Callithrix jacchus: one gene and its partner. The protein of the gene in region 2 interacts with the protein of the main gene of each other region in a biochemical or structural test. Links are inferred from orthologs where the notes say so. Each region holds a gene or a part of one and is shown on either strand. Other genes may lie near its edges.

The links.
Region 1: the proteins of GABARAP (region 2) and kelch repeat and BTB domain-containing protein 7 form a complex in vitro, tested with the Homo sapiens proteins (2 studies listed by BioGRID and IntAct, with this or other methods). The link is inferred for Callithrix jacchus from reciprocal best matches to the Homo sapiens genes GABARAP and KBTBD7.

What each region holds. Positions count from the first base shown.
Region 1 is NC_133506.1:160,346,426-160,350,602, reverse strand, and holds the start of kelch repeat and BTB domain-containing protein 7, read left to right. Parts: upstream 1-1,372; 5' UTR 1,373-1,671; coding exon 1,672-3,777; 3' UTR 3,778-4,177. UniProt on the Homo sapiens protein: As part of the CUL3(KBTBD6/7) E3 ubiquitin ligase complex functions as a substrate adapter for the RAC1 guanine exchange factor (GEF) TIAM1, mediating its 'Lys-48' ubiquitination and proteasomal degradation.
Region 2 is NC_133506.1:73,732,791-73,736,509, forward strand, and holds GABARAP (gamma-aminobutyric acid receptor-associated protein), read right to left. Parts: upstream 2,551-3,719; 5' UTR 2,428-2,550; coding exon 2,338-2,427; intron 1,769-2,337; coding exon 1,690-1,768; intron 1,550-1,689; coding exon 1,431-1,549; intron 1,004-1,430; coding exon 938-1,003; 3' UTR 510-937; downstream 1-509. UniProt on the Homo sapiens protein: Ubiquitin-like modifier that plays a role in intracellular transport of GABA(A) receptors and its interaction with the cytoskeleton.

The sequences.
Region 1 (4,177 bases), about 87 Mb from region 2:
GCCCTATTTTCCTGCCTCAAATCTCTAATACTTGGTTTTGATGATTTAGCTGTTGATCAACGCATATATTAAATAGTTTTGTAAAGCATAGACTATACTGTGTATTAATTCAAGGAACGTCAGGGCATGTATGAATGCTGAAGTCTGAGAATCATGTGCTTTTGTACAGAACAAAGTCTGTTGAAATGTTTTGAGTTAAAATTCTCCCTAAAACTTCTCTACGAAAGCAATTGCAGAGTCTGTTAACTGATTTGTAGAATGGCAGTGAAAGAGGCTGTATTTGGCCGGGCGCGGTGGCTCACGCCTGTAATCCCAGCACTTTGGGAGGCCGAGGTGGGTGGATCACGAGGTCAAGATATTGAGACCATCCTGGTCAACATGGTGAAACCCCGTCTCTACTAAAGATACAAAAACTTAGGCCGGCATGGTGGTGCATGCCTGTAATCCCAGCTACTCAGGAGGCTGAGGCAGGAGAATTGCCTGAACCCAGGAGGCGGAGGTTGCGGTGAGCCGAGATCGTGCCATTGCACTCCAGCCTGGGTAACAAGAGCTAAACTCCATCTCAAAAAAAAAAAGAAAGAGGCTGTATTATTCAATTTGAACACACTTACATTTGCAGCTTAATGAAAATACTCTTGCTCTGCAGAGATGAAATGTTAGTGAGAGCAGCAAATCATCTATTTGTATATGCTCAATTTGCATATTTGAGGCCATCTATTAATACTGCTCTTTAGGACCTCAACCTAACCATCTAAGACATTCTTGTTAAATGAGACCAATATACATCATTTAATATTGAAAATATTAATACTCTTCAGAACCTCTCAAAAAATAAAAATTAAAAATTGGAAGCTTTGTAACGTTTTGCAGTTTTAAAAAAAATACTTGGTTTCAAATTAGCGGGTGCCTCATTTATCATAAATTATAAAAGAGAATCTAACAATTATTGATTACATTCTAGGCACGGGGTAGTGATTTATTAATTATTCTTCTAATAAAAAAATACACATATTTAAGCATCCTATGTAACATATCATTCAACCCCACAAAACCCTGTAAAATATTGGCAGGGCGCAGTGGCTCACGCCTGTAATCCCAGCACTTTGAGAGGCCGAAGGAGGAGGATCATTTGAGCCCCCAGTAGTTCGAGACCAGCCTGGCAACAATAGTGAGACCTCGTTCTTCACCATCAAATCCCGGAGTATTAATTTCTACTTCTGTTAGAGCAGGCAACGAAAGGAAAGCTCGCGATATTTCACAAACTACTACTCCCAACATGCAAAGCGGTTTCCTTCCTCGGTCTTGGCCCGGCTGTCCGAGAGCCCCAGCAGGCCTCGGGGCGCGAAAGGCAACCCGGGAACCGTAGTTCTCCAGGGCGCCTAGCGGGATCGCCAGCGCGGCAGTGGGGCTTCCGCGGCTCCCAGCCAGCGGGTCCTGTGAACGCGAGCAGAGGCGGAGAAAGGGCGCGGAAGTGAGAGAGGGTGAGTCAGCCACTGTCTACGCGATAAAGGGAGGCCTCACCGCGGGGTAGGCAGAATTCAGGAGTCAGGTCCGTGCCGCAGTCTGTTCCAGGAAGCGGCTTGTGTTAGCGTCAGCGAGGGAAGGGTGAGGAGGAGCCAGAGCCGGGTCCTGCAGCCGTTCTCGCCTTCAGCGCCCGTCGCCATCTCCATCATGCAGTCCCGGGAGGACGCCCCGCGCTCTCGCCGCCTCGCCAGTCCCCGCGGTGGGAGGCGGCCCAAGAGGATTTCCAAGCCCTCGGTTTCGGCCTTTTTCACGGGCCCAGAGGAATTAAAGGACACGGCCCATTCTGCAGCCCTCCTGGCCCAGCTCAAGTCCTTCTACGACGCGCGGCTGCTGTGCGATGTGACCATCGAGGTGGTAACGCCCGGCAGCGGGCCCGGCACGGGTCGCCTCTTTTCCTGCAACCGCAACGTGCTGGCAGCTGCGTGTCCCTACTTCAAGAGCATGTTCACAGGTGGCATGTACGAGAGCCAGCAGGCCAGCGTGACCATGCACGACGTGGACGCCGAGTCCTTCGAGGTGCTGGTGGACTATTGCTACACGGGTCGTGTGTCGCTCAGTGAGGCCAACGTGCAGCGCCTGTACGCGGCCTCGGACATGCTGCAGCTGGAGTACGTGCGGGAAGCCTGTGCCTCCTTCTTAGCCCGACGCCTGGACCTGACCAACTGCACCGCCATCCTCAAGTTTGCAGACGCCTTTGACCATCACAAGCTGAGGTCTCAGGCCCAGTCCTATATAGCTCACAACTTCAAGCAGCTCAGCCGAATGGGTTCGATTCGGGAGGAGACTCTAGCAGATCTGACCCTGGCCCAGCTGCTGGCTGTTCTGCGCCTGGATAGTCTGGACGTGGAGAGTGAGCGGACAGTGTGCCACGTAGCAGTGCAGTGGCTGGAGGCTGCTCCTAAAGAGCGGGGTCCCAGTGCTGCAGAAGTCTTCAAGTGCGTGCGCTGGACGCACTTCACTGAGGAAGATCAGGACTACTTAGAAGGGCTGCTGAGCAAGTCCTTAGTGAGGAAGTACTGCCTGGGCGTTGTTGAAGGGGCCCTGCAGATGCGCTATGGCGACCTGCTGTACAAGTCTCTGGTGCCAGTGCCAAACAGCAGCAGCAGCAGCGGCAGCAGCGGCAGCAGCAGCAGCAGCAGTGGCAGCAGCAGCAGCAACAGCAGCAACAACAACTCTGTTGTACCTGCAGCAGAAAATCCACCTCAGAGGCTGGGTATGTGTGCCAAGGAGATGGTGATCTTCTTTGGACACCCCAGAGATCCGTTTCTCTGCTATGACCCTTACTCGGGGGACATTTACACAATGCCGTCACCTTTAACCAGCTTTGCTCACACTAAGACTATCACCTCCTCAGCTGTCTGTGTCTCCCCAGATCATGACATCTACCTAGCTGCCCAGCCCAGGAAAGACCTCTGGGTGTATAAACCAGCTCAGAATAGTTGGCAGCAACTTGCAGATCGCTTGCTGTGTCGCGAGGGCATGGATGTGGCATACCTCAATGGCTACATCTACATTTTGGGGGGACGAGACCCTATTACTGGAGTTAAATTGAAGGAAGTGGAATGCTACAGTGTTCAGAGAAACCAGTGGGCATTGGTGGCTCCTGTCCCTCATTCCTTCTATTCTTTTGAACTCATAGTGGTTCAGAACTATCTTTATGCTGTCAACAGTAAGCGCATGCTCTGCTATGATCCTAGCCACAATATGTGGCTAAACTGTGCTTCTCTTAAACGCAGTGACTTTCAGGAAGCGTGTGTCTTCAATGATGAAATCTATTGTATCTGTGACATCCCAGTCATGAAGGTCTACAACCCAGCTAGGGGAGAATGGAGGCGGATTAGTAATATTCCTTTGGATTCAGAAACTCACAACTACCAGATTGTCAATCATGAGCAAAAGTTGCTGCTCATCACTTCTACAACCCCACAATGGAAAAAGAACCGAGTGACAGTGTATGAGTATGATACTAGGGAAGATCAGTGGATTAATATAGGTACCATGTTAGGCCTTTTGCAGTTTGACTCTGGCTTTATTTGCCTTTGTGCTCGAGTTTATCCTTCCTGCCTCGAACCTGGTCAGAGTTTCATTACTGAGGAAGATGATGCACGGAGTGAGTCTAGTACTGAATGGGACTTAGATGGATTCAGTGAACTGGACTCTGAGTCAGGAAGTTCAAGTTCTTTTTCAGATGATGAAGTCTGGGTGCAGGTAGCACCTCAGCGAAATGCACAGGATCAGCAGGGCTCTTTGTAAATAGTATTTTGAGACACTAAGATGTTTCTACTGCTATGGAATGTATGTTAAAAAGATATCCTCTCTTTTTCTTGGGAAAAAAAGGTTGATTACGACCACAGATTTGGTTTAGAAAGGGTAACATTTTGAAATACTACAGGGTTTAAACAGTCCCTGAAACCAACCCGTTTAATAATTTACTGTGCTGAAAGTCCAAAATTAAAATATGCAAACAAGAACTATATAATTGGTTGGGATGCTTGGTAGGCTTTTTCCTGGTTCAGGTATTCATCCCACAGTGGACTGTTTTGATTAGTGGGCTTATTTTTTTTTTAATTCAGTCTTCTGTTAATTTTTAAGTTTTCTTTAGTGCCACAAAGAATTTATCTTTTAAATCTGTATAATAGAAAACTGGACTAGG
Region 2 (3,719 bases):
CTGCGGGAGAAATGATCACTGGGAGATGAAGTACTCCTGGCGATAATGGCTCCCTCCTCCCAGTCTTCTCCCTCCCTGATTCCACTCCTCCGGATCCCACTCGCCGGCAAAACTCTAGCCAAGTGACATACAACTGAGAACAGCCGTTTTACCAGCTCCTACACATGAAAATATCTTAATTAAAATGTTCTAATAAATGTCCACCTAAAGCAGGTACTTTCGAACAGTATTTTTTACATAAGCATATTTAACATTTAGTTTCACATATGTGTCATAAAACTAAAGTTTTATGAAATGATACTCAGTATTCCATTCCATTACAACAAAATCACCCTCTCTTTGCAGACCGGGAAAAGCTCAACATGAACAGAATAAATCAAAATATACTTCTATCCCTCCAGCTTGTACCCATTACTCTTCTTTCCCCACCACTGAAACCCACTGACGCCTTGGAAAGACTAAAAAACAGCGGGAGGAGGGGAGCAACACAAGGCAAAATTCAGCTCAGCTTGGTGGTTTCTTCTTTATTGATGTGCCTCTTACCTTCCCCCGACAATTTCAGTCCCTTCCAACTACCCCCAAAAAAGAAGGTAGTGAAAGGAAGGGATTGCTGGGGTTTTGAGCCCCTTGGGCAGTCAGAAAGGGAACAGAAACCAAAACAATCACTAGATGTGACAGAGACTGACAATCAAGAGTCTAAAGCAGAATGGGAAAGGCCGGCAGAGAAAGGGGAAAAAAGGAGAAGGGAGAGGTACAAGATGCCAACTCCACCATTACCCCTCCTAAGAGAGGCTGGAGAGAGAGCCTCAAACATTAAGAAGTGCCGGTCCTGAATAAGGGAGGTGGTATTTGAGCTTGAAGGAGGAAGAAGTCAAGAAAGGGGGGCCACCTCTCTCTTTGTAGAATGAGAGCCCCCTCCAGCTCAAGGGCAGCAGCTTCACAGACCGTAGACACTTTCGTCACTATAGGCAATGTACAGAAAGAAGTCTTCTTCATGGTGTTCCTGAGATGAAAGCAGAAAACTGTTCAGCAACTGGGCTCCTAACTTACTTCAACCAACCACCACCCAAACCAGTTTATGGTCTTCTAGAACCACAAACCAGTGCCCGACTCCTTCACTGACTCCAAGGACTAGCATAAGCAGTATAATCTCTGCAGTCCTGGGCAAAAAGACCTTAAACGGTTGTCTGCTGCTCTGGAAAGGGGAGGAGGACTGGGAAGAGTCCTGATCAGAAAGTTCCTCTAGCTCACTGTTCTCTTTGCGTCTCTCTACTCCTACTGTTCTGTTCAAACCCCCAACCCACTGCTATCATGAAATTTTAAGGCAAGTCAGGAAGCTAGTGCAAAACTACTGATGTAACAACACTTTCTTCCGCTCACGCTCTTCCAGAGGCTTCTCCAAAGCCTCCACCACTTCCAAGTCACCGTACCTGGTAAAGTTGACCCATTGTGGCACTGGTGGGTGGAATGACATTGTTGACAAAGAAAAACAAGGCATCCTCAGCTCGGAGATGAATTCGCTTCCGGATCAAGAAGTAGAACTGACCAACTGCAAAAGATACAAGGTGTGAGAAAGTCAGAGAGGTCAAAAATGCCCTCAAAAGAACAGCTGCTAGGTGGAGCCTCCTCCTGCAGAGACTGCACTCCCACCCACAGGAAGCAAGCCTGGGTCTTGGGTCAGGTTCCCACCTGTGAGATCAGAAGGCACCAGGTATTTCTTTTTGTCCAGGTCTCCTATCCGAGCTTTGGGAGCCTTTTCTACTATCACCTGATAAAGAGAGGATGAAAATGAGGAGGCAGAGGAATGCAGCCCCGCAGCTGCACCTGTCAAGAACTCAAGTAACAATAACCCTTGCACCTAAATCTACCCCAGACTCATCTGTCTTTGCACACGCGGTGCAGCCCTGAGTCCCAGAGATCCTGACCTTACTGACTGGAGTTCATTTAAATAGCCAGGATCCATCCCCCGAATAGGGCGTCACCATAAACAACTATCTTAATCAGATGGAGATGACTTGTCTGGGCCGACTAGTGCTTCAATCTCACAACCTCAACTAGCTGGGGGGATGACCACTTGAAGCTCAGGCTGTCAAACTCTCTTAAGGCCTCCACTCACAAATGCCAAGGTTTCTCTCTCCTGTCTACATCCCTCTCTACTCCAGGTCCACCACTACCCCACCCCTTTCATCCTCGGTCCCAGGGACAGCAGTTTCAGGGTCGCTTCCAATCCCGCCATAGCCAGCAGCCTGATCCTCCCGCTGCCCGTCCCAAATCCAAGGCCAGGCTGTGGCGTCAGCGTAAGCGTCCCGCGCCCTCCGCCCAGGCTACTGTCCTCACCGGCACCCGGTCCGGGTATTTCTTTCGGATCTTCTCGCCCTCAGAGCGGCGCTTCTCGAATGGATGCTCTTCTTTGTACACGAACTTCATCCTCCCGAGAACCGGGCTGGACCGGGCTGGGCTGAGGGAACCCGGGAGGGGGGGGCCGGACGGGGGACGGCGGCAACAGTGGCGACGGGCGGGCGGAATCAGCGGAGCGATCCACGAATTTGCGCCACTTCCCTATTCACCAACCCCGCCCCCGACTAACAGGACGGCCCCCCCGTTAAGATACGCCACTACCTCATCGGCACTAACGCTGCTAGCGTAGCAACACCCACTGACCCTCCCCCTCACGCCATTAGCGTAATCGCTTTGGAATTAATGTGTGGGATACGCAGAAGACGTAGCAAAGACGGTTGGTTTTCACTCATTGAAAATACCTCTAAACCTATTCCCCAACCTCCCCCTCAAGGAAGCTGGGGCTCAAGAGGAGTATGAGATGGTAATAACCATGAGACTTGGTTTCCCAAGTTCCTTTCGGAAATAACGTAGAGGAACAGCAGAGACAATTACAAGGTCGGCTATTCACAAAACGCGTTGCTACGCTGAAGGCGGCCGTTGACACCAAAACAAAGTAGTACCCAAGGGACAGAGATGATCTCCACAAATAAGAGTTCAAAAAGAAAACGGATGTTTGGAGAGATGTACAGAACGCTTAAGTACCAGGAATGAGTAGACCAATAGGGACTGGAGAGGAGGTCCAAGAGGTAAGGACTACGCCAGCGCGGAGGAACATCGCAGTTTGAGTGAAATCATGTGATCTCAGAGAGGGCGGAGCGTCACGTGGCGGGTGCGGAAAGTAGGGCCGGCTGGGGGGGCGGAAAGTAGGGCCGGCTGGGGGGGCGGGGCCAGCTGAGCAACGTCGGGGAGGGGCCCCTCTTCCGAGAGCGGAGGTCGAGGCGGCCCTAGGGGGCAGCGCCCGCGTAGTCTGTCCATATCAGTGCTCCCATCGAAGCCCGACGTTTCTCTAGCTCTACGCCCTTTGGCCGCCCAGGTTTCTCCTTTCGGCCTTCAATAGCCTACTGCTCCAAAGGTATCCTTCCACTCCACACCAGTGCGCCCATCCTGTCACTCGGCCCTTCCCGCCAAAGCATCTGGTGTCCACATTCACTATTGTATCCTCATGCTCAACAGCACCTTTCCCCGTGCCCTCGAGTCCAGCAGTAGGCTCTTCGCCCACTGCTCTGGAGACAGGGTGCATGTGAATAAAGTGCCCTCCCCTCACTTCCCAAAACCCCAGAGAAGGACCTAAGGGCCGCTTTGGTTTCAAAGTTATAATGCATGGTTTAAAAGAGAGGAAAGGAAAAAAGACAAAGCTGGTTACAGGTCTGAGGGAGTCT